Canis lupus familiaris: one gene and its partners. The protein of the gene in region 3 purifies or fractionates together with the protein of the main gene of each other region. This does not show direct contact. Links are inferred from orthologs where the notes say so. Each region holds a gene or a part of one and is shown on either strand. Other genes may lie near its edges.

What was found.
Region 1: the proteins of NUDCD1 (region 3) and DHX15 purify together in Homo sapiens (co-immunoprecipitation; 3 studies listed by BioGRID and IntAct, with this or other methods). This does not show direct contact. The link is inferred for Canis lupus familiaris from reciprocal best matches to the Homo sapiens genes NUDCD1 and DHX15.
Region 2: the proteins of NUDCD1 (region 3) and COPG2 purify together in Homo sapiens (co-immunoprecipitation; 3 studies listed by BioGRID and IntAct, with this or other methods). This does not show direct contact. The link is inferred for Canis lupus familiaris from reciprocal best matches to the Homo sapiens genes NUDCD1 and COPG2.

What each region holds. Positions count from the first base shown.
Region 1 is NC_049224.1:86,189,373-86,199,474, reverse strand, and holds part of DHX15 (pre-mRNA-splicing factor ATP-dependent RNA helicase DHX15), read right to left. Parts: intron 6,598-10,102; coding exon 6,511-6,597; intron 5,430-6,510; coding exon 5,280-5,429; intron 4,879-5,279; coding exon 4,770-4,878; intron 4,289-4,769; coding exon 4,097-4,288; intron 1,184-4,096; coding exon 1,061-1,183; intron 1-1,060.
Region 2 is NC_049235.1:6,234,789-6,244,890, reverse strand, and holds part of COPG2 (coatomer subunit gamma-2), read right to left. Parts: intron 7,381-10,102; coding exon 7,247-7,380; intron 6,699-7,246; coding exon 6,631-6,698; intron 4,545-6,630; coding exon 4,356-4,544; intron 74-4,355; coding exon 1-73. UniProt on the Homo sapiens protein: The coatomer is a cytosolic protein complex that binds to dilysine motifs and reversibly associates with Golgi non-clathrin-coated vesicles, which further mediate biosynthetic protein transport from the ER, via the Golgi up to the trans Golgi network.
Region 3 is NC_049234.1:10,119,280-10,130,107, forward strand, and holds the start of NUDCD1 (nudC domain-containing protein 1), read right to left. Parts: upstream 6,106-10,828; 5' UTR 6,094-6,105; coding exon 5,802-6,093; exon of another isoform or gene 5,463-5,801; intron 5,196-5,462; exon of another isoform or gene 5,176-5,195; intron 1-5,175. Other genes in the region: transcription and mRNA export factor ENY2, read left to right, coding at 6,383-6,388, 7,815-7,891.

The DNA of each region.
Region 1 (10,102 bases), on a different chromosome or scaffold from region 3:
AATAACTTCATTATGACTGTATTTCCTTATTTTCAAACAACTGGAAAATGTTTTTCATGTCACTAAATATTCTCCGAAAACATGATTTAAAGCTAGAACAGGGCGCCCGGGTGGCTCAGCCAGTTAACCGTCTGCTTCAGCTCAGGTCATGATCACAGGGTCCTGGGATGGAGCCTGGAACAGTATTTCATCATGTGGCTATAGCATAAATTCTGAACTATCTTTTTACTGGTGGGCATTAAGGTAATTCCCTCCCACCCTTTTTTACTATCATAAATAATTCTGGGATGAAATCTTTAATTATATCTGTGTGCACAGGATACTGGAAGATCACAGATTATTCATAGATTATTTCTGAGTCACAGGATCTGAACTTAACTTTCTCAGTAACATAAAATCTACTGCTTTTCACAAAGACCACATCAATTTATAGTTCCACCTCTCTTGTAGGACTGTTTCACTAAACCCACTCCTACATAGCTAAGGACTACTTTGCCCTAACCTCTGCCAATTTTGTAGGTGAGAAAATGGTACCCCTAGATAATAATGCTCTTGAACTACAAGTAGAGTTGACTTTCCTCCTCATGTTTACAGACCACTTGAAGCCTGACTGAGAACGCTGATTCACATCTACAGCCCATTTTTCTATTTTCTTAGTTTTGTATTTAAGAGCTACTTATTAGTAAAATTACTAAACAGTAAAGATTCTATAAATAATACAAAACTAAACACACAAAACGAATGAAAATAAACAGTGAAACAAAGTATATAAAAATCTGTGTATTAGTGGTAAATATTATACTGGTATTTTGTTTTTAACGCTCTCCATTTTCCAGCTTTCTATAATAGGTATTTTCCCCACTGATTATAAGAGTAAACAACTTTGAAAAAGACAGACAATTTCCATTTTAAATGCTAGTCAGGAGTTTTTTCTAAAGTACCTCTGGGTTTCTAATGTAAAGTTGTCACAGATAATAAATGAAAGTGAGATGAAGAAACATCTTATATACTGCAAGTGACATTTAGACAAAAGAGTGCCTTCAATCTAATTTACACTTACTTTGTTTAAAAGCGTGGTAGACATTCAGCAGTGTCAGATGATCTCCATCTATGTGGGCAAATCTCATCTTGGCTTCATCTGCGGCTTTCTTGGCCTCCGTGGGGCGAACAAAACACTGTGGGACTAAACAAGGTTGGTATGGGCCCAACACAAACGCCCATATCGATGAGTCACGCATTCACAGATAGAGGAACAAGGCCTAGCTAGGTCAGTTCACAGAGCATAGGGCAGGGCAGGATGGCCTCCAACTGCATCTTGGACTGTTTACTACCTTGATTTGGTACATCAACACCTAACCACATCTGTAAGACAAGAGGGTTTCAAAGCTACAGAGTACCTGATGATTTTAACTAGATCTAAAAGTAGGCATCAAACAGCTATTCTGAAGGCCATCAAGATACTAGAAATAGAAAGCTCAACTTATTTCAAAAACCAGTGCCGATAGCTCTACCAATAACCAGAATTATGGTGTCAATAGCCTTTAAGCTAAATGTAATTTTTCAAAAGGCCATCCACTGAATCCACTGAATGGCTATGGAAGTTATGAAGCTGTATCTGCCCACTGCAGGGCTAAAAACCACTTTCTAGCCAGTCTATTGCCACATTTCTATTGTAATTTTTTCCCTAATGCTATGGCTATTACCAACTGGTGGGTATCACTATTAGCACCGGTGAGCAGAAGCATATGGAAACATAAAAAATATCATGAAATGTTGGGTTTTGATGATAGCAGTAGTGGTGGAAGGTTAAACCGCCTTTGAATTAAGAAAATTCAAAAAGGCTGAGGAAATTCAGCCTAGTTTTCCAGCATTTTAATAAAAAGATTAGAAAATGACGTCCCAAGTTTAAAAAAAAAAAAACTGTTATTTGGTTATTTGAATCAAAACCTCAATATAAAAACCAAATCCAATATTTGAAAGTTGACAATTAGTCTGAAACAGTCATTATTTCAAGGGTCATCAAAATATGTAACTACAGTATTTGTTTAGAGCCTCGATGTTAATTCACATAAAATTTTAAGTTGTTACAAAGCGTGCACTACATTTTTAAAATACAACTTTCCTTAATTCACTTTAGCAATTCCATAGTCATAAAAGCAGTATGAAAGTAAAAATACTTAACAGCTTGGGACTTTGTCAACACATTTTTAAAGCTCTTAAAACCTTTTCAATATAAAAAAGTATAAATGAATCAGTCCAGATAGAAGATAATGGGAATAATCAACAACAAGATCAAATACAGTATCAAATTACTTTCCCATACAGTTTCCCCTTTAAAAGATACCAAAGAAGCCAAATAGAGACAATGACACATGATCACAATAAATATTAATTAAATGTCTTGCTTAATGTAATTGAAGCAAGCTAATTCATGAAAGTACAGAAACCTCTCAAAGATACGAAAGTAAAAGTGAACTAGCTCCCAGAATTAACAGTGGGAATAAGTAGCACTCTATAAGGCCCCTGATTTGCACTATTTATATCAGGACCTGAAAATGTCAAAAACTATTTAAATGAAAAACAAAACAGTATAAGCTTGGCAAACTGTTTTTGTTCTGTGACTTCTTCCTCACCTTTTAATACCCGCCCCCGACAAGTGCCTTGCTTAATAATCACTAAACATAAATGTCCATTCTCTTGATGTGCTAATAAACTCCTGTGTTGTACAGAGCTCCTTATTACAAATAAGAGATATAGGTGGAAGATTTCAACTGCGTCACAATGACCAGTTTTTTAAAGAACTAGTAATATAGACTCAAACGATGGTAATTATATAGTATGCCTGATAAGAGAAACTGGAAGAATAAAATCTGAGCAGATAACAAATAAATATGCAATCTGTTAACCCTTGCCCCACACTTTCTCTAAAACTAAAATCTTGGGTAAGTACCAACTGGGAGCATCTAACAAAAACATGTAAGAAAGGCAGACAACAACCTACCACCACCTCCGCAAGTGAGACTACAATTTTATTAAAATGATTCGATACTGCCCTGCCCATCTGCTCTGAGTCTGATCAGTCATAACTCTGCAAAAAAACATTTTTAGCTAGTTCTTAAATAAAAAATTCACACCATTAAAACATATCATACATCTAAACTAAGCCATAATTTTATAATTATAAAATTTTTCAATTTATCTTTTAATTCCATGTAAGATTTTGAATTATTTGAGGCATTAGGTTATAATTATAGACTAATAAACCACTCTGAAACTGAAGTCATTCTCCCCAGTACTGGAACTAGTAGTATAGTATAGAGTACTTTGGTCATCAGTAAAAATATAAAATGTCTTCTATTTTTTAGCTGTAAGAATCAGTGTAAAGCTGTTAATCATATTTCTTCTTTTTGGAAAATCTAATTTCCAAATTATAATTCATTGATGGATACGCTTTACTGCTACTAAAAACAGCATGACTTGTTAACCTTAATGCTCCAATTTCCGAAATCAGCAATATTATCTATTAGGTGTCTTTCACGTATCAACTGTTTTCTGCCATTGTAAAAGAATTATGATCTGATGAGATTTTAAACCTAAAATTACACATTACTACTTCTATTTATTTGATACTAAGTTTGAAATTCACATTTGCTCAACTGCCACTAGAATATATTATTTATATGTGTAGGAAAAGTTCAATTTAAATGATAGTTTGGGTTTGTCCCAGGCTCACTTAATAGTGCCAAGTACTAGAACAAAGTTCTTCTTGTACTTTCAGTAATAAACCGCAAAACTGATGAACCTACCAAAGAACTGTTACAATTGTGTTCAGACTTGTTCTTTTCTTATTGCAATTTTTATTCGCACTCAAGAGAGCCAATGTTTTTACTATATTTTGTGCACAAGCAATTACTTTACTTTTGTAAATACTGTATCTTCATAAATCTATTTACAAGATATTTAGGAAACAAAATGAGCTCCTCAAAACCATCTATAAAATCTACTATCATACTAAATAATAAAAAACAAAACCAAATGTGAAGTCCACCCAAACTGTGAAGAGCTGGGCTTTTTTTAGTTCCTTTCCCTCTATTACCTGACAACATAGCAGTAATAGATAGGACCTCATTAGAACAGTTGTAGTCACAACTTGCAATAACCATTTTAGCGAGCTGTGGATCTAGAGGAAACTCTGCCATCATGGATCCCAATTCAGTCAGATCTCCATCATCATTTAAAGCAGCCAGGTAATTCAAAAGTTCTAAGGCTCTCATCAGAGTTTCAGGAGCTGGGGGAAAAGGCAATCTATTAGACAAACTGCTTTAACAAGCAAAAAGGTGATAAAGTACAAACTATTATAAGCAATCTCATTTTTCATTCTTCAGTGGACCAAACTCAAACTGTCATCAAATTCAGTTAGAGTTCTAGCAAACAACAATTCATATAAATTTGCAATATTTTCCTGCACAGTAGTTAAAACTGTCATTTTCCTAAATAAATTAATTCCTAACAAAAAGAAAAATTAGAAATTTCTCATTTTCCTGCTGGGTCAGTAATTCCCGGGATAATTTAGTTACTCTGAGGAAAGAAAAAAAAAAAAAAACTTTCTCATATAGTTGTCATTCTTAGTTTTAATACTAACATATAGGACTTTTCTTGACGCATACTACAAGAAAAAGTAAAGGGTGTGTGTGTGTGTGTGAGATAAGATGTAGAGATAGTGAATTTTGGTTAAAAGGCTTGCTAAAATATGCTTTGAGAATTCATACCTGGTGGATCCATAAAGTCAAAATGCACCAAATCATCAATACCAAGCTTCTTCAATTGTAACACAACTGATCCTAAATTAGAACGCAAAATCTCAGGATAGGTGTTATCCTAGCAAAAAACAAAAGTGTTTATTGTTAAACATGCCTTAATCCTCTTGCTCCAGAAAACAAAACATACCTGTTCTCTGCCTCTTTAGCTATTTACTTTGGCATTACTTCTAAACCACTGATCCACAGGAGAAGAATACTGGTGGAATATACCAGAAAGGAATCAGACACCTTCTGTGAACTATCTTTACAGGGTTGAAAGTGTTACTGCGAACTGTTCACTTCAACTTAAAATTTTAACAGAGAGCTGTATTGGTAGATTACACCATAAATCTCACTCAGGGAAAACGTAAGGCGCTTATGGTGCCAAAAGGCAAGATGAAGTAAATAAAGCAATTTTCTTCTGGTAACAAATTCAACTTAACCTTCCAAACACAGGAAGGATACAGCAAAACCTCTTACCTGCATTTCTGTTTTATAAGCTTTCTCTGTATAAAGTCTGAAGCATTTCCCAGGTCTTGTACGCCCAGCTCGACCAGCCCTCTGCTGAGCTGAAGCTTTACTAATGGCTGTTACCAAAAGAGACTCAACTCTGATTCGAGGATTATACACCTATAAGAATGAAAATAATGTAAGAATTTTTCCTTCAGTTAACCACAAAACTGTAATCTGTATGCAAAGTCCACAGCTAATCTCAAAATAAACAAAGCAGTATAGTGATGAAGGCTGCACATCAGAGACAGAAACTGAGAACTGGTTGTGCCTTAACTTTCTTTCAGATATTCTGAAATAATCATTCTGAAGACTCAAGCTAACATGGAAAGGTTCTTATCTATTACACACAAAGCTTACATCATCTTCACTCTTCTTAATTAAAAGCTTACATCATCCTTACTCCTCCTAACTGAAAATTAATTTCAGTTCTACCAGCTTTACTTTGCTTTTTTAGAGTGGATCAACAGTGTTGAAGGCTTTTGCCTGTAAAGAACCTGTCAATTTCAATACCTGATGATGTTCAGTGTGAACATCAAGAAAAATATTTTGAACTCAGTTCAGAGGTCAGTTACACACTGCCAGTTTAAAGTGAAAAATTTCCATCAGAAACATAAATACTGCATGCAACAAATTCTCCCAATTATACCTATAAAATGTAACCAAATGTAATTTTAAAAATCTGTGAATCATACAACATCACCAGTTATTTCCTGAGTAGTCACTTCCTCTGGCCAAAGTGCTTGGTATTCAGCACTGCTCAACTAGAAGATAACGTTAAAACCTTTTCAGATACTATGCCCAACACATAATAGAAACTCTAATCTTACTGGGTGATCAACCTACAAGAATGACAATCCTGTCCTCTTATTACTACTCTCATACTCCTTAAATGAACACAGAAACCGAAACACTTCCAACTGCTACAGAGAAACAAACAAAAAAACCCCAAAGCACCCTTAAAAAAAAAAAAAAAAAAAAAAAGGCCTAGGATTCAACATTATGCATGGGTTTAATAAAGGATAGTCAGCTAAGAACAGAAAGGGTTCATATCACCAAAGTCTGAAAACAAAACACAAGACAACAGGAAAATAATTCTAAAAAGTAAATTCTAGTCACTGAACAAGTACACAACACAGTATGTACTCTTAAGCTAACACCAATTTAATAAAGTAAACAACTAAAGTATTAAAGTATGTACCTTTTGTTTTGCAAATCCAGGATCAATCACAAATACCACACCATCTATTGTCAGAGAAGTCTCTGCAATGTTAGTTGACACAACTACCTGTTAAGAAATAAACAGTATATAAATTATATTATAAATGAAGTAAAATTGAAAAAAACCGTAAGGGTAGCCATGACCTTTCACTAATGAATTTCAATCCAGTAAGTAAACTAGAAATAAGGTTTCATCCTCAATGGCCAATGCAATGCAATACAAAGACAAATTAATATTTAAGATCTTAATTCAAAATCTCATTTAGTCCATCATAGCAAATTCCTTTTTCAAAGAAAGCTATTATTTCAGGTTATCACTCAATCACATATGTTTTCATTACTTAAACAGAAAGATAGCATCAAGAGAAAAATTATCGATGAAACAGTATAATAGCTTGCCTTACATGTCTTGCTGACAGAACACTACTTTGGTTATTATCCAAAGTCCACAAAACATGTATATCTTTTGGTATTTTCTGGCAGTATTTACAAAGGGAACTTTGTATCACCAAAACTAAACATTTAAAACAAAATGGCACAGGAGGGCACAGGGGGACAAAATCTCAAGTTAAGATCTAAGAAGCATTGGCACATCATCAGAATCAAATGCAGATGTTTTAGAAAGTATACAATTTCAAAGAAGATGTCACTGCATTCAAAGCAACTGTTAATCATTTGAACCTTTTACTGCCAGGGAAAAACGTTTCAAGTATTTACATACTAATATGATCCCTTGTTTTTTTCTTTACGTAAGCGTGTGATGTATGTTAGATCTATTTTAGGAAACTGGCTGGGGTTTGAGAATAACATGTCACATAATTTTTCTTATTTAACGATAAGAAAATGGGATTCTTGTTAGATTGTTTTTCCCCCAGAACCTTTGATTTTTCAGGAACAGAAAAGTGCCATTAAGTGAAAATGCCTGTATATGCAAGCAGAGGACAAAAAAGATGAATCAGATACAGGGCCTGCTCTTGCAGCCTGTGAAGGAAGATTACACATGCATAGTGTAAATGACACCATAGACTCACCCTGAGACTTAAAAAGGGTTTACTTCCACAGTTAAGACCAAGGAAACTTACCATTTGAGTTGTCTAGAGTAAGGTGGAATCTACCACGAGAGAGAAGGGAACAAGAACACTAGGAGTAGAAGATTCAGCTTAAACTATGACATACAGGCAAAAAAGCCCATAGGCACATCTGAGAAACGAAAAGGACTCATACCACCAGGAAATCCTGGAGGTTTTGAAAATTTACTAGAGACCTATTGACAGGTTAATATTTTAGAATCATTCACACATCTAAAACCAAAAATCCTTCCTTTTTTTGTATTGTGTAGTTGCAAAGACTGGTAACTAGCAAATGATAAGGAACGCAGGTCATCTAATGTTACTCAAATACAGTTTTCAGTACCTTTAAGATGGCACGCACATGGCTCAAAAATTAGAACCAAAGCAAACATAAACAAGGCTATGAGGGGATCCCTGGGTGGCTCCGCGGTTTGGCACCTGCCTTCGGCCCAGGGCCTGGAGACCTGGAATCAAGTCCCACATCGGGCTTCCTGCACGGAGCCTGCTTCTCCCTCTGCCTGTGTCTCTGCCTCTCTTTCTCTGTCTCTCATGAATAAATGAATAAAATCTTAAAAACAAAAAACAAGGCTATGAAATTGACAGGTGAATTTGAATAAATATCCTGAGTTTAATATTCTTCTACAAAGTCAAGTACGTTGACCTGGAAGGAGCAATGAATTTAGAAGTCAGTGACAGAGCCTGGAAGCCAACCTAAGTAGCTAAAGGTTTTAACACTCCCAAATCTCCATTTGCTTTTATAATTCCTGAATATTCATCTAGCTAAGACAAAACTGTTAACAAAATTAGGCAATAAATAGAGAAAGTCCTTATAAACCTATTACAGAACCAGTGACATGCTTGTGATTATATAAAAGGTCTTATGGTTTTCTGGAATTCTGGGGTGATATTATAATAGTTTTGGATACAGATTTAGAGCAGTGGAGGAAATAAAAAAATACATTTCACATGTTTCTTCTAAAACAGAATACAGTTAGTATGGAAAAATTTCTTGTTATGATCAATTCTTCAGAATTTAAAAATAATTTTTAAAAGATTTTATTTATTTGAAAGAAAGAGAGCACAAGCAGGGGAAGTGGCAAAGGGAGAGGAAGCAGCAGGCTCCCCCATGAGCAGGGAATCTGACTCCAGGATCCCCAAATCAAGACCTCAATAGAAGGGAGGCTTTTAATCAACTGAGCCACCCAGGCACCCCTAAAGTAATTTTTCTTTAGAAAATAATTTCACTTGGTGTGCATGCGTCTTTGGCTATGTCTGTGTGGCAAATAATGTAATACTTACAAGAACTGTGGATTTAAGAATCACAGGATTATGCCAAGCTGGCAAACCCCATGTCCTTATCGATAGTCTACTGCCAACCAAAAGTCAAACTCCAAAACAGAGGTGTTAAAAAAAAAAAAAAAAAGACCTTAGGCTTTCTTCCAAGGACTAAAAGTAAATTGGTTAAAAAGCTTTAAGGTAATAAAAGCTTTTTGAATAGGACTTATTTGCCATACTGATTTATTAAAGTACTATGAAAAAAAAGGCAGGGCTCGTAAACCATGGGAGGTAGGTTTGGGGACAAAAAGGGGGAAAACTCCTGTAACAAACTGTAGGACTTTCAAGAATGCTTCTTCTAATGACTTTACTACTAAAGCTGGAGAGGTAATTCTAGCTATGGCTAAAGAAAACATATATATATATATGATGCGCAAGAACAAATACATGAGATGATAAAAAGTTATCTAGCTTCCTCGAAACCTTAGTAGTAGACTAATGCAAGCCCTAAGTGTGTTCTAGATGTAGCTTGCATATGATCTAATTAGGAACTGTTCAGAACACAAAGTGATCCTGAATTTGGTCAGGGGATCTACATACAACACATGGGAATATACACAAATGATACAAGCTTTCTAGACTGTAACATGGAAATAAGTGTTTCCCCCTCAATAACATGCCTCGCAATGAAATCCACTTTGATTTATTTCAATAATTCCACTTAGAAGTAGTAGAAGTGAGAGTACCCTAAGTTACTCTATTTGAATTCTATTTGGACACAATAATGCACTTAGGTTCAACTAGTTTGGATTTTCAGTCCCCAGGGAATTCTGTGGGGGTTGCCAATTCAGTAAGGACATTAACTTCTTTATCTGTCCACATCCCAGCAGTACCACACTAAGTTATCTTCAGATAGTGGATCATTAAGCCTCTCTTTAAAACTATAGAACCATCTCCACAAGGGCCATTTCTCTTTTTTATTGAGCAGTGTATGCTTTGAGCCATGTTAATTAGTAAACTGTAAGATAAGCTACAGAAAAATCAGCTATTTGTATGGATAAAATTAATGAAACCTAAATAAAATCAAAGAGTAGTTCCTGGATTTTAATAACATCAAATCTATAAAATAGCAATTCTAAGTCTTAGTCAAAAAATGCATATGAGTAAATTTGAGTAAACTTTTAACGCTTATAACAAAACCATAGCTTGAACTTAAACTCAAATATC
Region 2 (10,102 bases), on a different chromosome or scaffold from region 3:
GGAAGGTCATCATGACGCTGTGCTTTCGAGGGTATTTCTGACAGAGAGCACTGATTGCCTGTACAACCACCACCTGTGGAAAAACAAACACAGACAGGACGTTCATCTTTACACCTTCAGCTACCAGGTATACTTTCCCTCTTACTGTTGGAGCTAAGGCGGTGCCGTCGTTACCTGGAATGGCAATAATGGCCCTTCATGAAAGATAGGTTAAAAAAAAAAAAAAAAAACATGTAAAAATGAAATTCATCCAAGAGACCCCAACCCTTTGTTCCAAGCCAGTAAGCACATAAAATCTTTAAAGTAAAGAGTAAAGATTAAAAGCATAAACAGAGGGGCATCTGGGTGGCTCAGTCGGGCTCTTGATGTGGGCTCACGTCATGATCTCAGGGTCATTGAGATCAAGCCCCACGTCGTGCTCCATACTTGAGATTCTCTTTCTCCCTCTTTGCCCCTTCCCCTTGCTTGCTCATGCTTTCTCACTCTCAAATAAAAAAATTAATTCTTTTTAAAAAGCATACACAATCTCCTTAGAAGAAATTGAAAATTACCAAGGAACTACTTCACAAAATGGTTTCTAGGAAAATTTTACCACAACTCTGAAGACCAGCATCAAGACGTGAGCAGTGTGAGATTTTCCCCTACCCACAAGCTAACAAGTTAGTCTGCCACAATTTCATGGATTGCTGGTAGAGAGAACACAAGACTCCTGGATCAGAGATGAAAGACAATTAAATACAGCAAAAGCAGTGGATAGAATATCAGCATATTGAGGCCAGGTTCCTCAGCCCCAATTCGCAGAGGGCAGTGTGTAAAGGGCCACAGTAGCTCTAATTACAGAAGAACCCCGAGGTGTGGAACTCAAATATTTTACAGAGGGTAGTAAGCATGCCAGACCTTTGTGCTGAAGGGAAACATCTTTATTATCCTGGACAGTGAGCATGCTTGCTTTTTGCTCTAGGGAAAGCACTAGCTATATCTTCTACTGCTGCACAGAAATCTGCCCCTTTTAGAGGGAGACACTGTATCTTCTGAGACTGGAAGAGATCTTGCACTATACAAAGGGAGCATGTATAAGCATAACTAGTTAGAAGATATAATGGATACAATCATTTTTAACAGCAACAACAAACAAGATAAAATACGAAAAGCATTTTAAAAGCATTTAAAACTAACAAAAATACTATAAAAGATTCTTAAAAGGCACAACAGTAGACTTGAACAAATGAAAAGATAACCCTTGTTCTTGGATAAGATGTCTCAACATCATCTAAGATGTCTCTTCTCAGGAAGCCCGGGTGGCTCAGTGGTTTAGCGCCGCCTTCAGCCCAGGGCCTGATCCTGGGGACCCAGGATCAAGTCTCATGTCGGGCTCCCTGCATGGAGCCTGATTCTCCCTCTGCCTGTGTCTCTCTCTCTCTCTCTCTCTGTCTCTCATGAATAAATTTTAAAAAAAAATGTCTCTTCTCCCCTAAGTTAACTTATAAATTCAATGTGATCCAAATAGAGATGCCAATGAGATTTTTCATGAAGCTAGACAATACTAAAATTCATAAGGAAAAATAAACACGTTAAGGATAGCTAGGGAAACAATGAAAACAAAGCCATGTCAGGGGACTGAGGGATACTAATACATCCTACAAAAGCCTGTATATTTAATAGTGTGTGGTACTGATACATAAATAAAGAACAAAATAGAACAGGAAGCCCCAAAACAGACCCACATACATATGGAACTTTAACATATGATAAAGGTGGTACCTCAAATCACTGGGGCAAAGACAGTCTTGTAAATAAAATTGGTGGGGGGGGGTGGGCAACTGGATAATCACTGAAAAAGGAGAAGATTAGATCCAATTTCTCATACCATATATAATAATAAAATCCAATGAATCAGAGATCTAAATGAAAACATGGAACTATGTATGTATTAGAAGAAATCATAAGTGAATCCTTATTCGCCCAATTAGATTCTATAGTCTGAAGGGAAAGCTCCTTCCTTTCTTCCTTCCTTTCTTTTTTTTAAAGGAGTGGGAGGAGGGAAAGAGGGAGAGGGAGAGAGAGAACATTGGGTGTGGAGCCTAGCGTGAAGCTTGATCTCATGACCCTGAGATCATGACCTGAGCCCAAATCGGATGCTTAGCCAACTGAGCCACCCAGGCGTCCTTGGAGGAAAAGCTTTCTAATACCCAAGAGTCAAATGCAACAAGATTGACAAACCTTACTACATAAAAATTACAAACTTTTGCACAACAAAAGACATAAGAAAAGGCAAATGACAAACTGAGAGAAAATATCAAAACTTATTTCATAAGGAACTAACATCCCTAATACATAAAAAGCCTGAAATAACTGAGGAAACAAAAGACCAAAATTTCTTTAGAAAATGGAGAAAAGAGATGAGTAAATGATATTCAAAAAGAAATATTAAATGATCTTTAAAAATGTAAAAAGATGTTTAACTTCCCTCATAAGTAAAGAAATTCATTAAAAATACATTGAAATATACTTTTTCACCCACCAGGTTGGCAAAACTTCAAAACATAATATATACTCTATTGGTGAGGCTATGGGGAAACTGGCACTCTTACACATGCTGGTGGAATTTAGCATTCTCTACACAACTACACTTTCATTTACCCTTCAACCTAGCACATGAACTTCTAGGAACTGACCCTGAGATATACCTACAACATTCTGAGAAAACACACACAAGTTTATCCACTGTATTAGTTGTGACTGCAAAATATTGAAAATTATAAATATCTACGCATAAGAGATTCATTCAGTAAGCTATACCACAAAATGACCTTTATAATCTTCCATAGTTCCCCAAGATTCAAAATGTCTACTTGAATATATAGGCTAAGTTTGTTTTTTAAAAGTTTAGATATAGGCGTGGACTGGGTGGTTCAGTCAGTTAAGCATCTGGCTCTTGATTTTGGCTCATGTCATGATCAAGCCCTTTGACAGTCTCCACACTGAGCATGTAGCCTGCTTAAGATTCTCTCTCCCTCTGCCTCTCCCCACCATTGCTCCTGTGCTCTCTCTCTCAGAAAAGATCTAGATATATAGAAGAGAGTAAATAGAGCCAGTTATGCTTCTTAACTGAGAATTGAATAAGAATGAAATAATAAACTCTTTCTAATTTAATTCTTTTAACTGAGATTTATTTTACTGTTCTTCTATCAGCTCTGACACATTCTCACCAGTTCTATTCAATACTATAGTGGAAATCCTAGTTACTTTAATAGGGCAAGAAAAAGAAAGGGAAGGCATTTAGTTTGGAAATGAAGAAGCAAAACTGTCTCTATTCACAGATAACATGATTATTTACAGACAACCTTAAGGAATACATAACAACTACTGGAACCAATAAGGGTACTGAGCAATGATACCAAGTTATGACAAAGAGAAAAAAATATTTTTATATATTAAATATATTTATATTTTAATATTTAAATATTATATTTACATATATTATATATAATATATATGATAAAGCATATATGTATATGTATTTTTATATACTACTAGCAGACAATAAAATAGGAATTTTAATAGAGTAAAAAAGCATAAAATATTTAGATACAAATTTAACAAAAGATGTGCAAGACTGATATAGTAAATGCTATAAAACACTGCTCAGAGAAATTAAAGAAGACCTAAATAAAGGGAGAGGCATACCATATTCATGAACTGGAATACGATGTTACTGTTACGATGTCAGTTTTCCCCAGATTTATTTATGGATTCAACATAACCCCAAGAATAATCCTAGCAGACTTTGTTTCATAGAAATTATAAGCTGATCCTAAACTTTATTTGGAAATGTAAAGGACCTAGAATATTAAAAAAGGACAAAGTTGGAAAATCACATGGCTTGACATTTAAGAGATACCATAAGGCTACATTAATCAACACATTGTGGCATAGGATTGACAAATAGATCAACAGAATGTGATAAGGAACCCAGATATACCTACAATTACATAGTTATCTGCCTTTCAGACAAAGATGCCAAAGCACTGCAGTGGGGAAAAAGAAGTCTTTTTCAATAAATTATGCTGGAATGACTAGATATTAGTATGGAAAAAAACCTTGAACTTACCATACACAATATATAAATATTTAATTCAAATTGGGTCATAGACCAAAATGTAAAAGCTAAACCCATAAAACATTTAGAAAACATAAGAAAATATCTTTAAGGCTTGGAAGTAGACAAAGGCAATATAACAGTGAAAGAAAGAAATTAATAAATTAGACTTTAACACTTTTGCTCATCAAAAGATACTGTTAAGAAACAGGCAAGCCAGAGACTGGGAGAAACATGATCATATTTAAACTTTTACCTTGAACTCATCTGAGATTTCAGAAACAAAAGAAGATATCTGCTTCATAAGCCTGTCCACACTGCTCTCACTCCCTGTTTTGAGGAGTGTAGTAATGGCCAGGGTAGCGATGCTTCTGTTTGAGTCTGTGATCAAGTTTTCTAAGTCCAGATTGCAGGCAGTGACAGCAGAGGGGTGCTTCATTGCCACCTTGTGGAAGGGCAAGAAAAATAAATTAAGCAAATTGCTACTAATGAAGACCAGAACTTTAAAAAACAAAGGAAGAGGAAAACAGATATTTTAATCAAGGTAAGTGGCTTTTAAAAATCTAAATGGGGAACCCTGGGTGGCGCAGGAACCCTGGGTGGCGCAGCGGTTCAGTGCCTGCCGTTGGCCCAGGGCGCGATCCTAGAGACCCGGGATCGAATCCCACGTTGGGCTCCCGGTGCATGGAGCCTGCTTCTCCCTCTGCCTATGTCTCTGCCTCTTTCTCTCTCTCTGTGTGACTATCATAAATAAAAATTTAAAAAAAATTATAAAAAAAAAATCTAAATAGGTCAAAAGTAATTGTTTTAAGAAGAACATTTTCAATTAATAAGGCATAATATATCACTTGACAAACACCTGCCAGAGTCATAGTGTAACATAGCACTTTCTCTTCCTAGGTCTCTAGTTTTCTATAATTTTTGTAATAATACCACAGCCTGTATTTTATTGCAGTTGACCTGTTTTTGTTTATAATACATGTGTACATGGATATATACGCTACTAGATGTAAGGATCTACTAGATGTAAGGATCTACCATGGTAAACACTGCTCAAAGACTGTTAATATCTTATCACTTAGAAAACACTTCTGTATTTAAACAAACTCCAGCCAAACTGGATTGCTCACACTCCCTAAAACATGTCTCATTCTCCTGCTTCTTTGCTTTTGTCGAAATTGTTCACCTCTCTGTCTCAATATTGGTATAGAATCCTTTACCCACGATTTAAAAAATTTGAAAACTCAGCAAAGTATTGGCATCAAAACTCATTTAACAGGAAAATCTGACCCAAAATAATATAAAATGAGTTAAATCTTAATTTATTCCACTTAGTGAGGATAGTCATATGTATAACAAAGAAATATTAATGTCTTAAAAAATATTAATGTGCCTTATGGTAGGGGACTGCTCTAGGCTCAATGGAGTTAATATATAAGAGACAGCACCATATTGCCTTCCCAAAATTCATAAAGTACTGAATTCTGAGACACATCTGTCCTTAAGATTATAGCTAAAGGCATGTGGACCTATATCACCTCTTAAAAGTATAACTCAAATTCTGTGAAGGTTCTTCTTTGGTTTTCCAGTAAAGATGCAATTAATTTGTAATAGATCACATACTGCCTTATGACAAGTCTTCTTCTACATTAAACTTTCATTTCAAATGTTTATGGTTCTTTGATTCATTCTATGTTTCTGAACTGTATCCTCTAAACCTGTGGCATCCAATATAGTAGCCAATAGTTAAATGTGACTACTAAGCACTTGGTATCTGGCTAGTCCAAATTAAGATACGCTCTAAACATGAAATAAGCACTGGATGTCACAGACTTAGTATGAAAAAACGTAAGGCAATATAGATCTTTAATAATTTTACACTGATTCCATGTTGACAAGACATTTTATATATATGAAGGTAAATAAAATATATTATTAAAATTAATTTCATCTTTAAAAAATTTTTTTAAAGATTTATTTATTTATTCATGATAGACACAGAGAACAAGAGAGGCAGAGACTCAGGCAGAGACACAGAGGGAGAAGTTACTGTGGTTACTATAAAATTTAAAATTACAAATGTGACTCACATTGTGTTGCACCAGCACTGTCCAAGAGAACTTTCTACAGTGATAGAAATGTTCTATATTTTTTCACTGACCAATATGGCAGTCACTAACCACATGATTACTGAGCAGATGGAGTATGACTAGAGTGACTGAGGAGCTAAATTATCAGGGTTTTTAAATTTTTAATTAATCTAAATGGAAATGGCCACTCATGGCTGATGGCTATCCTATTGGACAATGTGGTTTTCAGCCATAAAGTGCTTGAAAGTCAGAAATGAATTATAATCTTTAGTTGAATGGTAAAAGTAGCCATACATAAGGCCACAAATACAAGGAAGGTGCTCTAGAAGTGAAGACCATAAATCCTACCTTTCTATCTTGGGGAGAAAGTCAAATGCTTCACATGTAATGTTTCTCAATCAAACATTGATATAAGTCAGTAGTTGGCAAAGGGACACCTACCTTGTTCAAGGTCCTCACAGCTGCATATCTCAAAGCTGGCTTAGGAGAGCTACAGAAAAGCTGAAGAACTAGAAAGAAAAAAGATCTTTGTGAATAAAGCTCATTTCATCATATTGCATATATCTGAAAATACAGTACATAATTATATTCAAAGTATGCATCAGGAAATTAGATCACAGCATCAAAGCTTCACATGAAAAACTTATCAAAAATAGAAAAAACACTTTTTGTTGAGCTATAAAAAGTTTAAATCCAGAAAACAAAGTTTATTTTTATATAAGAATTCATATAGGCATTAATACTTGAATTTGTGGTAGGAATATTTGTAGGGATAAGAGCAAATGGGCTTTTTAAATATGAAAGAACTAAAGGAATGAGAGTTACTTGTCTTCTAAGTAAAAGGTTTTTAATGTTTTATATAGGGAAATAGTAACTTCAGAAAAAGAGGTAATTAATGAAAACAAAAATAAATCATCTACATGTTAGAATGCAAAGGTGTATATATTAAAGCTAAGGTTCAAAAATCATTCTTACTACCTATCCTGCAGAACTGTGGAACTTAAAACAAAAACATGCAAATATAAACAAAATCCTAGCTATCAAATACACAACTGACCTGAAACAGCAGGTGCCAACTCCCTTGCAGTACAGTTAGGAAGATGGATGATAGCTGACGCAGCTTCATAAATAACCATTTCATGTTTATTTCGCAAGCAGCTCTCAATGAAATCAAAGAGTGGACTTTCATGGCTGACAACAAATATACATAACACATCATTAGATATCAAAAAGAACAAGCGCGATATGCATAGCAGTTAAAAACACAGACAGATCAAAAGTACTTTCAGAATTATGGATGAAGAACCTCTGAAAATCCATTCCTCCATAAAAGCAATGAGAACACTGGCATAAATTTTCAAAATCAACTTTTTGAGCACTCTAGAAATTAGCCAAAGACTTGCAACAATCCTAGAAACATTTATTCACGAAAAACAGACGAATTTTCAGAAGAACAGCAAACTTTCTGATGTTTTCCCTTACTCTATTTCAATTCCCTCTTCCCAGGTTCATGGTAGCTTTGGAAATCAGCAGCCTCAGAATTGCAGTAGCTATGAAAGCCAACAGACTAGCAGCCATTGGAAGAGGCAGATGGGTTTGGAGCACCCTCAAAAGCCCTGTCTCCCAGGGAACTGTAACTATTTGACCTGACTGGTGCTCCCGAGAAAAGCCCCATTCACGGAGCTAATCTTTATTTCATCTGACTCAGAGCTCAGTCAATGAGGAAAGCCCTATCCTCAGCAAGTTTGTCCCCCCAAATTAGTGGCAACTATTTAACACTGCAGTTGCCAAGGGCAATGATTCCACCTAGGGCAAACAAGAGGCTGGCCAAAAAACTTAAAGGGAAAATTTGAGAAACAAGATCTCTATAGGAGATTTTGGCAATTTCTGACATATTCCTGGGGATCCAGAAGTCTGTGCATATGTAGAAGGCTGTGCAAATACCCAGGAAAGACAAGACAAGCCCTAAGCTCTCACCCATGCTTGACTTCAAGGTTCTGTGCATATAGGAAGCGAAGGCTAAGGCAGAGCTGTAAACTGCCAGAGCATGGATGCCATGCCCCAACACACAAAGTGCCCATTAGAAAAAGAGTTGGGAAATCTATTGGCTTAAATCATTTAAGAAAATCTGTCAACTCATTACCTGATGACATAATCAAGCAGAGACTTCAGTAACTGCATATGACAAAGAGTCCTATGCAGAATTAGTCTGGGAAAGTCACTAAAAAAACAATAAGCAGCAACAATAATAACCTCTGAGGCTGGGCAAGAGGGCAATGTAATTACCAGCATTGCCACAATACTTAAAATGTCCAGTTTTTGACAAAATGTTATGACACATGTAAAGAAATAGTAAAGTATGAAGTCCATAGTAATTATTCTTGGGGAAGGCCAGGCATTAGATTTGGTACTGGATGTATCAGGCAGAGACTTTATCAATGAATATAAACATGTTCAAAGAAATAAAGAAAACCATTTAAAAGAATTAAAGAGAATTAAAGACCTGACAATCATACCTTACCAAAGAGAGAATATCAATAGAGAAGTGACTTTGGGTTCATTTGTTGTGGTGGTGGTGGTGGTATTTTTAAAGAAACCAAAGAGGAATTCTGGATTTGTAAAGTGCAATAACTAATGAAAAATTCAAATATGCAATTCAGCAGCTGATTTGCACTGGTAGTAGAAAGAAATCAGTAAACCTGAAGATAGGTAAATGGAAACAATTCGGCTGAGAAAATAAAGAAAAAAGGATGGAAAAAAAGAACAGAGCGTTGGAGAGCTTTGGAATATGACTAAGGGCATGAACATTTTCATAATAGGAGTCCCAGAAGGAAAAGAGAGAGATGGGGATTCCCTGGGTGGCTCAGTGGTTTAGCACCTGCCTTTGGCTCGGGGCATGGTCCTGGAGTCCCAGGATCGAGTCCCACATTGGGCTCCCTGCATGGGGCCTGCTTCTCCTTCTGCCTGTGTCTCTGCCTCTCTCTCTCTCTCTCTCTCTGTGTCTCTCATGAATAAATAAATAAAATGAAGAAAAAAAAAAAAAGAGAGAGACAAAGGGGCAAAAGGAATATATGAAGGAATAATGAATAAGAATTGTCCAAATTTGATGAAAGCATTAATCCATGCACTTGAATAGCTCAAAAAATCCCAGGCAGGATAAACAGAACAAGATCCACACAGAGACCCACCATAGCCAATCTACTGAAAGCATAAGACAAAGAGAAGATTTTGAGAGCACCAAGGTAAAATATACTCAGCATGTTTTACGGGGGAGCATGAATATAATCAATGGCTAACTTTCCACCTGAAACAATGGAAGAAACAGTGCAGCAGAATGCCATAGTCAAAGTGCTGAAAGATAAAGAAAGGAATTCTATTTCCAACAAAACTATCCTCAAAAAAAAAAAACAAAACAAAACCAAAACAAAACAAAGGCTAAGAAAGATATTCCCAGAGAAGTAATAACTAAATATGCACTGTTGACAGACTTACGAAAAATACTAAAGGAAGTCATTTAGACTTAAAGATTTACACTGTTTAGTGATGTGAATAATCAAGAAGAGCACGAGAAATGATAAATATGTGAGCTGATATAAAGATCTATAGATAATTTTTTTCATTTCTCTTTTAAACTTACTTTATTTTTTTAAAAGATTTATTTATTCATGAAAGACACAGAGAGAGAGAGAGAGTGAGAGGTAGAGACATAGGCAGAGGGAGAAGCAGGCTCCCCTCGCAGGGAGCCCGATGTGGGACTCGATCCCAGATCCTGGGATCATGCCCTGTGCTGAAGGCAGACCACTGAGCCACCTAGGCGTCCCATTTTAAATTACTTTAAAGGACATAAAATTTATAAAGCAACAATTGTAACATTACAGTTGACCCTTGAACAACAGGTTTGCACCACAGGGGT
Region 3 (10,828 bases):
TCCCAAAAGTATCTTTTGAAAACACAAATACAACATAAAGGCCAGAAGAAAGAAACAAGTATTCTATTTTAGGGTGTTATATTACAAGTGGTGTAAAATTATTTGAATGTATTACGTAATAAGTTAAAGATGTATATAACCTTAACCCTAAAGCAACCAGTAAAATAACAAAGAGTGATAAAAATGATTTCATAAGACGGGCTTCCAGCATGGAGCCTGCTTCTCCTCTGCCTCAATTTCTCTCTCCCTCTCTCTCATAAATAAATAAAATCTTAAAAAATGATTTCATAAGAAAATAATCCAAAAGAAGGTATAAAAAATGGAATGAAAAATTAGGAAAAAAAGGGGAAAATTTCATCTTCCCAAAGACTAGATAGGACAAACAGAATATCCATAGCAAGATGAAAGACCTAAACTAACAAAATCAATAATCACATCAAATGTAAATAGTCTAATTAAAAGGTAGAGATTGTCAAGTTGAATAAAAAAAGACTCAACTATTTCTGCCAATAGTATATACATGTTAAATACTAAAACACAAACAGGTTAAAAGTTAAAAGATGGAAATAAATACGTAAGATTTAGCAAAAGAAAGCTTGAGTGACTATTTTAATATCAGATAAGGTTTCAGAGTAAAGAATATCAACAAGGATAAAGAAGGTTATTCCTTAATAATACGGGTGTCAATTTATTAAAAGGACATGATAAAGTGTTTATGCAACATAACAGAGCTTTAAAACATATGAAGCATGGGCAGCCCGGGTGGCTCAGCGGTTTGGTGCTAGATGGTGATCCCGGAGACCCGGGGTCAGGTCCCGCGTCAGGCTCCCTGCATGGAGCCTGCTTCTCCCTCTGCCTGTGCCTGTGTCTCTGCCTCTCTCTCTCTCCTCTCTGTGTTTCTCATGAATAAATAAATCTTTAAAAAATATAAATAAATAAAATAAGATAAAATAAAATAAAATATATGAAGTAAAAACTGACAATACTGAAAAGAAAAAAAATCCACAATGATAGCCAGAGGTTTCAATATCCCTCTCTCACACAAGCATGAACTAAAAGTAATTATGCTGAGTAAAAGTGAGACAAAAAAGAGTACATACTGTATAATTCCATGTATATAAAACTCTAGAAAATGCAAACTAATTTATAATGACGGAGAGCACAGCAACAGTTGCTTGGGATTAAAGTGGAGGAACAGCGGGCTAGTTACAAAGGGCACTGGAAGTTTTGAGGAAGAAAACAAAGTTTAATATCTTGATTATGGTGAGGACTTCAGGAGTAGTGTGTATATATTTTAAAACTTGCCAACGTGTACACTTAAATACATGCAGTTTATTATCAATTATCCTAATAAGCCTATTTAATATGTGTGATATAAAATCACTTATTAATCACCAGGCATGCTCCAGCCCTTTCAAAGTAAAGCACTTAAATATGGACATTAGAACCATCGCTAACAAAACCAATAATCTTAAAAGAGAAAATAGACATTGAATGCTACAATGTATGATAAAGTCTATGATCAGGTATAATAGGAAAACAGACTACAGATTCTAATTTATACAGATTCTGTAGTATAGATTCTAACTAGATAGTCCAGAAAGGAATCTCTGAATAAGTAGCATGTAAACCAAGATGAATGAATGGAGTATGAGTTAGCTAGGTGAAATGTAAGGGGAAAACATATACAAAGACATTTACAGAATGAAGACTCTAGGAAAAAAATATGTACAGACAGTCCCCAACTTAAAATGGTTCAATTTAGGATTTTTCAACTTTGCAAGGATGTAAAAGTGGAAACTGCACTCTGAATTTTTCCCCAAGCTAGCGATATTACAGTAGGATATTCTGGTGATGCTGGGCCATGGCAGCAAGGTACAACTCCCAGTCAGGCACGTGACTGATCATGAAGGTAAACAGCTCATCCACTTTCCGTACCCATACAACCATTCCGTACCCATACAACCATTCTGGTTTTCACTTTGTATTCAATAAGTTACATGACATTCAACATTCTATTATAAATTAGGCTTTGTGTTAGATGATTTTGCCCAACTGTAGGTTAGTACAAGTGTTCTGAGCACATTTAAGGTAGGCTAGGCTAAGCTATGATGTTATGTAGATTAGATGTATTAAATGCATTTTTCAATTTAAGATGTGTGTTTGTCTGTACATTACTCCATTGTTAAGTCAAGGAAGATCTGTATAAGGTAAATGCCCAGAACTAGAATTGCTGGGTCAAAGAACAATCACAATTTTATAAAAAAAGAGAGTTGTTTGCTTAATTTTTTGGAATACACAGACTGACAGCTATAGTTTATGTAGCAAAGGGAACTTTAGAACAATTTACTAACATTATTTAAAACAAGAGAATAAAAATAGACCAGTACTCCAAGCTTTTTGAAACCAGAGCACATCTTCATCCTCACATCCTAAATGCACAGCTTCACACACCAGTCACTAACATCTTGCTGAATTAATGTAAACTCCTTAGGGAGCATAAAAGAAACCAAGTTGCCAAGAGGAGCTCTTCAATCATACTTCATTATTTCTAGAAAAGAGTTTTTAAAAGAATTAAGCTCTCCATCCTCCTCCTCAAGTAGTAATTCTTAATGCAAGCCCCTCACACGAAGGATTGCAAAAGCCTCCAAACTGGTCTCCCTGGTCCTATTCCTCCAATCTTCCAAATTCAATCTTCACAGAATCTAAAATTAAACCATTCAATCTCTAAATCTCTTTCTTTTCTATACTTAAAACCCTAAATGGGACCTCATCACCTCCAACTGTACATCGCAAACACAGACTCCAAAACCAACAATGATGAAAAGAGGAGAGACCAAGGACCATTTAGTGAGTAGTTAATAAAGCTAATGCATTTTAGAGGACTATTGTGAGAATTTGCTCTCTGCTTTTTTGATGTTAAAATATCCTTTTGTTTATGAAAGAATGGGTGAGGACATCAGTTTTTAAGAAACATCTCCACTTAGGAACTAGAGTGTATCATGCAAAGTGAAACAAGTCAGTCATAGCAAGACAAATACCACATGATTTCACTCATATGGGGAATTTAAAAAACAAAACATGAACATAGGAGAAGGGGGAAAAAGAGGGAGGCAAACCATAAGAGAATCTTAACTATAAAGAACAAATTGAGGGTTGCTGGAAGAGAGGTGTTCAGAGGATGGGTTATATGGGTGATGGGCACTGATGGCACCTGTGATGTGACCTGGGCATTATAATAAGTAATGAATCACTAAATTCTATTCCTGAAACCAGTATTACGCTATATATGTTAACTAAATAGAATTTCAGTATAAACTTGAAACAAACAAAAAAAAGAAACATCTCCCCTTGGCAAATTAAAAAGTTGGCAAATCTTTGACAGCTGAGCTTTATTTTTTAATCATTAGGGCCCAAGAAAATGTCTGGGAAACAGTGACTTACTCCCCAGATGTGTGGATAAAGTCCACAAGACAAACAGTGCCCTCACCTATTTTTCTAAGTGGTCTCTACTTCTCCAGATTTTTTTGCTCCAGTTACACAGGGCTGCATCAGTGTCCTACACACAACTTACTCTTTTCCATTGCTCTTGCTTTCTAAGGAATGGAATGACCTCAATAACAACTCCTTCTCTTCTTCATTCACTCAATTTATTGAGCACCTACAATGCTAAGCACTAGGAATAGAGTAGTGAACAAAAGAAAATATTACTGATATTAGGGAGCTCACAGTCTAGTGGAGGAAACAGGATATCAAATAAATAGAAAATTAAAAACTATGATGATACTGCTTTACAGGGAATGGAAGGAAGGAGAATGGAATGGTGGGAAAGCTAGTCAATAAACTATAGTTCAGGTAAGATATAACTGATTTGGAGAAGGGTAGAGGCAAGAAGTCAAACCTTGAGCTGACTATATTGCTGACAGACTGAACAGAGGGACTAAAAGAAGAAATACTTCATGACTCCAACATAAGCAACTATATATATAGACCTGCTCTAATAGTCCCAATTTTTATGCCTCCCTGAATCTATGCCCTTTGCTATGAGCTTGCTATATACTGACCTTAAAGCTTGCTTATATGACTTGTTTGGAAAAATGGGACAACAGCAAACTTATTCCAGGCAGTAGCTTGAAAAAATGCCTGTGTGCTGCTCCTTTTCTCTTGGATTAAGCCTGGGCTAATGAGAGATCACACGGAGTAGAGCTAAGCAAAAGCATCTGAAATAATTTTATACTAGTCTGTAGCCAGAGAACCTCCAAATTTGTGAGGAAGTATAGCCAAGATGAGGAGAGCCATCAAGCAGATGCATAACTGAACAAAGACACAAGAATGAGTCCAAGCCAACACTAGAAGAAACACCTACCCGACCTGCAGACTTGTGAGCAACAGTAATTGCTTACCGTTTTGAGCCACTGAGTTTTGGGTTGCTTTTTTTAATGCATAAACGAAACACAGTGGTACCATTTACTGACATGAGGTGGAAGAAAGAAAGGAAGGGATGAAAAACCAAGCTCCTTTTAGCTTAGTCCGGTCAACTCCTACCTATCCTTCAGAACCCAACTTAAGATATCAGCTCCAGGAAGCTTTCCCAGATCCCCAGGCAGGTCTGCAAAGATACGTAAGCACTACCATTACCACTACCATTACCGTCTGTACATAACCCAATCACTGCTTTATCACAGTTTTGTAATTATGTTTATATTTTTCTTTCCAAGTAGCCAGCTGCACTTTTATGTTACAGACTGTACCTTTTATTTTTTTTAAAGATTTTATTTAATTATTCATGAGAGTCAGAGAGAGAGAGAGAGAGAGAGAAAGAGAGAGAGGCTGAGACACAGGCAGAGGGAGAAGCAGGCTCCATGCAGGGAGCCCGGATGTGGGACTCGATCCCGGGTCTCCAGCATCACGCCCTGAGCCGAAGGCAGCAGGTGCTAAACCGCTGAGCCACCCGGGGATCCCTACAGACTGTATCTTATTCATCTTGATATCAGCTTGTAAACATGAAACAGGCTCTCAATAGATGTTTACAAACTTTATAAACACTTATTTGATAAAATTCTTTAGATCAGCATCTCTCAATGTGTGATCCACTCACAACATGCGTCAACACCAGTAGAGGTGTGTATTAAAAACGCAAATCTGTGGGCTCCTCAACTAAAATGCTTATTATACCTCGTAAAACAATTCACAAGGGTGCATTTGTTTCGGCTAGCCTCGGATACACAAAATAGCAGAAGTGTAGGTACTAAATCAACTTGTCCTCAAAATCTTCTAGAGATGTTGTCTACGATAATGCCTTTAGTCTGACAGCACCGGTGTGACCGAAAATGCTCTGAACTGCATCGGGAGTTTCTCTTCTGTGACGTGGGGCTCCGCTAGAGGAAACCGGAGCTGGGGGCCCTCCGAGGAGGCGTGGCCTCTTAACGCACACGGTTACAGAGGATGCTCGAGAGCGAAAGCAAGTCCTGCCTGAGCTTTCTCCGCAGCAGCCCGGGCCGGGGACCGACAGGCGGCCGGAGCCCAGGCAGCGCCGCGAGCCGCAGGACGGACCTTGGAGCCCGGGCCCGCCCAGGGTCTAGCTACCTAAGAGCCGCGCCAGAGACTCCCACTGGGTGCCGGGATGGGCGTCGGTCTCCAGAAGCGGCCCATCCGGGTCCACCCCAGCCCGACCGGCCGGACGGAAGGCCCCGGACGCCTTGCTCGCCCAACTCGGGAAGGAAGAAAATGAGGGAAGGGTCCGGCCGCTGGCAGCCGACAGGGGAAGAAGTAGAGTGCCAGGGGGCGCCGCCGCTTCCCACCTGCGTCAAGCTCCAGCTGGTAACAGGGCAAAGGCTCGAGGGAGAGCTTGTAACCCTCGAAACGGGGATCCAGCAGAGGTCTCTTCACGCGCAGAGAGCAATTAGCAGCCACCTCCATAGCCACCTCCTGGGTCGCAGCGAGAGAATTAATAAAGCTCTTGTTGAAAGGTCCGCGCTTCGCTCGTAGCGCCGAGGCTCGCAGGCGGCGTGGTTCCCATCCCAGAAAGCACTGCGCGGTGCGGGATGCCTTCTGGGAAATGTAGTGTCCAAGGGAAAGTGGACTCTGTTGCATGTCGGGCTATGTAGTTTTTTGGAGACCTAACGCCCCAGCGACAGCATGGGCCGGACTCTCTTACCCAGAGGGCTGAGCTACCAGGAGGCGGCCCGCGCTGGTTAAATTCTCACATTTATAGGCAGGGGAGCGAGACCCCGCCCCGGAAATGCGTGTTTTAGCTTTCTGTGTGCTTAGGTGCCCGAGCTACTGAGGGTCTAGGTCCGGGCAGCCGAAGAGTGTGGTAGGTAACGGTCGTCAGCGCAAGGGTCATTTCGTCGCTGGGAAGGGACGGCCCTCGCCCGCGGTGATGGTGGTGAGCTATGCCCGTGGTCCTCAGGGCCGGGACCCGGGCCCAGCCCAGGCTCCTTTCGATGTGCTGTCTTTCGTTAGCTTCCCCGACCCGCGCTCGCGGGCCTGTAGGGCTCTCCGACAGGGCGTGCAACCGGAGTTGGCCTGAAGCCAGTCCACGCTTTGTTTTCTGGCTCCTCCCCTCCCGCCTCTCCCGCTGTCTCCGCCCTATTCTATTTTCCCAAAGAATGTCTGAACTGGGAGGGATCCCCTAGCGCCCTCGTTTTACCAGTGAGAAAACTGAGGCCTTTAAGAATTGACTTGCCCAAGGTCACTATCCGTATTTTAGGGGCCAAGGCGAGATCAGGTTCAATATTCCAGGAATGGTACCGATTAGACCTTAGAATTGTTTTGAAAATGTTAGCCTCCAGCTACAAGCGAACATTTCTCAGCCCTTCCTTTTTCCTGTTGCACTCAAAAAAATTTTTTTTCCCAACTCAAAACTCAGTTGCCAGTCTTGAGTTTTCATATAGGCGAGACGGGACACAGCAAAAGTGGTCCCAAGTTAGTGACAAATTATCTGCAGTAATGTGAGCTTATTGCAGCTGTTACATTCTAATAACCTTCCTCTCCTTTCTACGTCACTCTGATTTTGGTTGTCTTTTTTCACTGAAAATTGAGAGTTTTCTAAATTAGGAGTTAGTTTGAGATTTGTTTTTTTCCTTTATTCCACCAGCAAGCTTCGATGAAGAGCATACACAAGCACATACTCAGAGTTAGTTTGGCAGTTGTAGAATTCTGGGCACACCCTACAGGAAAAAAAAAAAAAAAAAAAAAAAAAGTAAAGCACTTTGAACCTAATCTGGAAATTTCATTTTTCACCAACAGTGCTTAATCTTGTATTACTCTCTAGGTTATATGGCTTCCCCGAAATTTTGAATGCAGTTACGGTGCAGAAATGATAAGCAGTTATGATGTGCTGTTAAAAGTGTGTTGAGACTGCTGGGCTCAAAGTACATGAGTTCAAATCCTGTCCTCACCACTTGCTATCTTGGTGCCTCAGTTTTCTCAATTGTAAAATACGAATTGTGTTAATAACTCTTACATGAAAGAATAAGTTTTGGGAATTAAATGGGGGAAAAAAACCCAACCCCTGTGTTAGCCCAATACCGGGCACATAAGTATTGCATAAATGATACGATAAATATCATTATCCAAAGACTCATTAATAAAGGGTATATGGCGGAGGAAAATTGTAAAGTGAATTAATCAGTATGACTTCTTGGGATGCAGTGACCAATATTAAGAGTAATGACATTGTTAACACACTGTTGAAATTTATCACCCCCTCAGTTGATAGGATGTTAAGTATATTAGGATGCTTACCTAGAGGGTTTAGAAGAAAATGCTTTTTATGTGTTCTGTATCTGAAAATACATGTTGATGTTCAGGTTAGCAAGATGAACAAAGATGCGCAGATGAGAGCAGCGATTAACCAAAAGTTGATAGAAACTGGAGAAAGAGAACGGTAAGCAAGAGATTGTGTTAATAAATGACATTTAACATCTTTAAATTATAGTTATGTTATATGTAATAAGAGTCTAAATATCAAGGAACAAAACTGATGTCAGTGGAAGGAATTACAGCAAATAGAGATTATCAGAAGTTTCAATTCCTAACTTCTAAAAAAACCGGTCTGCTCAGTATTTCGTTACTTAAAGGAAAGTGAGTCATCTAGAAAGGTGAACAAGAAATGACTCTTTCTCAAAGAATGTATAATCTAATAGAAAAGAAAAAATACCCAAATAACTGCAATTAAAAACATAAAGGTACCCAGTTTTAACAGGGAGAAAATATGGTAGAACCAGTTCAGTTACTACACTCTTAACCTCAGAGCAGCGTGTGGTGTTCCTACTCCCTGAAACATTCGTCTTCCCTGATCTTTTCGTCTACTTCATTTTTCAGGTTTTAGTTTAAACATCACCTCTTCTAGGAATCTATTTAGTCCCAGATACCTTGTTCTATCTAAGCATTTAATCACATTGTATTATATCCACTTGCTTTGCTTGTTTGTGTCCTTCAATATAATCTAAGTCCTTGACAGTAGAAATACCAGTGTATCCCTAAGCATCATCCCTAGCACATAATTAGCCAAGTAAATATTTGAAGAATGAACAGGTTTGGAAGTATTAAACAGAGAGTCAGGAATCAAGAAAGGCTTCCAGAAACAGGATGAAGAATTGCATAAGAAAAATATGAAGAAGGAACTGGAGGGATTTTTGAATTCTATGGTGGGTGGGGTTAAAGTAATCAATTACAAAATAGTAAAAGAGGTACTTCAGCTCAGGGAGAAAGATTAGCAGTTCTTTCAGCCAATAAAGGACATGGAGCCTGCTTCTCCCTCTGCCTGTGTCTGCCTCTCTCTCTCTCTCTGTGACTATCATAAATAAATAAAAATTAAAAAAAAAAAAAGGACAGAAGACATTCTAGGCAGATGGAACAGAATGTGCAGGTACAGAGGTGTGTTACAACATCATACTGTTCTGAGGAACTACAGAATTAAAGCTAGCAGGTAAAGTGTGAGAGTGATGTTGCTGGAACAGTGGACAGGAGGAATGGATTTTGTAGAAGCCCAAATTCTTTCATTTTAAATGATAGAACTCAGAAACTGGCTTAACCAATGGAAATATATAAGCTCATCTAACTACAAAGTTTAGGGCTTAAAGTTGCATCTGTCTCCACTGGGTCCAGGCACTCAAAATTGTTACCAAGTATATGTCTTTCTTTTTCTTTCTCAGCTCTGTTTTCCTCTGTGTTGGCTTTATTCTCAAGCAGACTCTACCCACCAGGTGGCAAAGATTAGCAGTTCAGAATTCATATCCCTCTGGCTCAGACTACCTTTCTCCTAGTAGTTCCAGCAAAGTACCTGGCGTGATTACCATCTTACTTAGGTACATTGGCCAGTTATGGTCAACCTGGCCTAGGTCTCATTTCAATTGTTGGAACCCTATGCAGATTTCTTACACTACAAGTGGTGTCAAAGAAAGGTCAGGAAAGTGGGTGATGGATTTGCAAAAACATCCGTTGTTGACTTTATCCTTGGGTGGTGGGAGTCATTAAAAGATTCTGAAAAGGGGATGACTACATCACATTTGCTCTTTAGGAATATTAGGCTGGCAATGTGGAAGATAGACTTGAAGGGCTAGAGGTCGATTACAGAAGAATGTGTTAGATTGTATCAGATTAAAAATGTAAAACAGCAAAAATGGAAGGGAGAACTTATAATTTGTTAAAGTAAAAGCAGCCCTCCATGTGAGAAATGAGGAAGAAGACATCCAGAACAATGCCTTGGGGAACTGAGAGAATATAGTATTGGCAGTAATGAATAAAGGGGATTATTTATTATTGGTTGTTTCTTCATTCATACAATTTAAAATTACTGAGTTTCTGCCATATGCTATGTCCTGTTAAAGTGCTAGAGATGGAGTAGTGAACAAAATAAAGTCTGTTCTTTCATGGAGCTTACATTCTAATGGGAGAAGATGGACAGTAAGTCTGTATTATGTAGGCAGTGATAAGTTCTAGAGGAAAAATAAAACTGAGAATAATGAGATGTGTATCTGAGGCAGAGAAAAAGAAGTTTTCACTGATAAGAGGTCAAAGATATGAAGGAATGAGGGGTCTCCCAAGAGCCAAGAACCCAAGATAGGAGCTTGCCTGGCATTTTGAGGACCACAAGCAGGCTCATGAGCCCTCTATAAATTAGGTAAGGGGAAGAAGAGATAAAGTCAGAAGCATAGCTGAGGAGGAGGAATATCATGGAGGGTCATTTAGGCTGTAGCATAGAGTTGGAATTTTTAAGTAAGTTGGGAAGCCACCAAACCGTTTTGGGAGGAGGAAAGAGAGCAAAGTATATAAAGAAGGGAGCAGGGGGACAAGTTAGAGGCTTTGGTAACAGTCCAGTCAAGAGAAGAAGATGGCTTGGACTAAGGGAGCAATAACAAAGATGATGAAAAACATTTGGATTGTAGTGTATACTTAGAACTAGAACCAATAGGAATTGCTTCTATGGATTATATGTATAGTGTTAACAGAGTTGCTGAGTGAAGGATGCTAAATTTTCTAGCTTGAGGAACCAGGATGGACAATGGCATTCTGAAAGGAAGAATAGGTTGAGGTGGAGAGAGGCAGGATTTGGGTTGGCCCTATTAAGATGGAAAGACCTAATTAAATATCCAGATAGAAGTGTCACATAATGAATTTGGGGGGAATATTATTGAAAGAGAAGTGGTTTAGTTTGGGACATGACAGGTTCATGCTGAGAAGTGATTTAGGTTGAAGATTAAGGATTTCTAAGAGTTGAGTATGGAAAAAGGATAAGAAAATACTTTGTTACACCCTTTTTCTGCCATAAGTTGCGATACACACCATTTAATTAATTAATTAATTTATTTATTTTTACCAG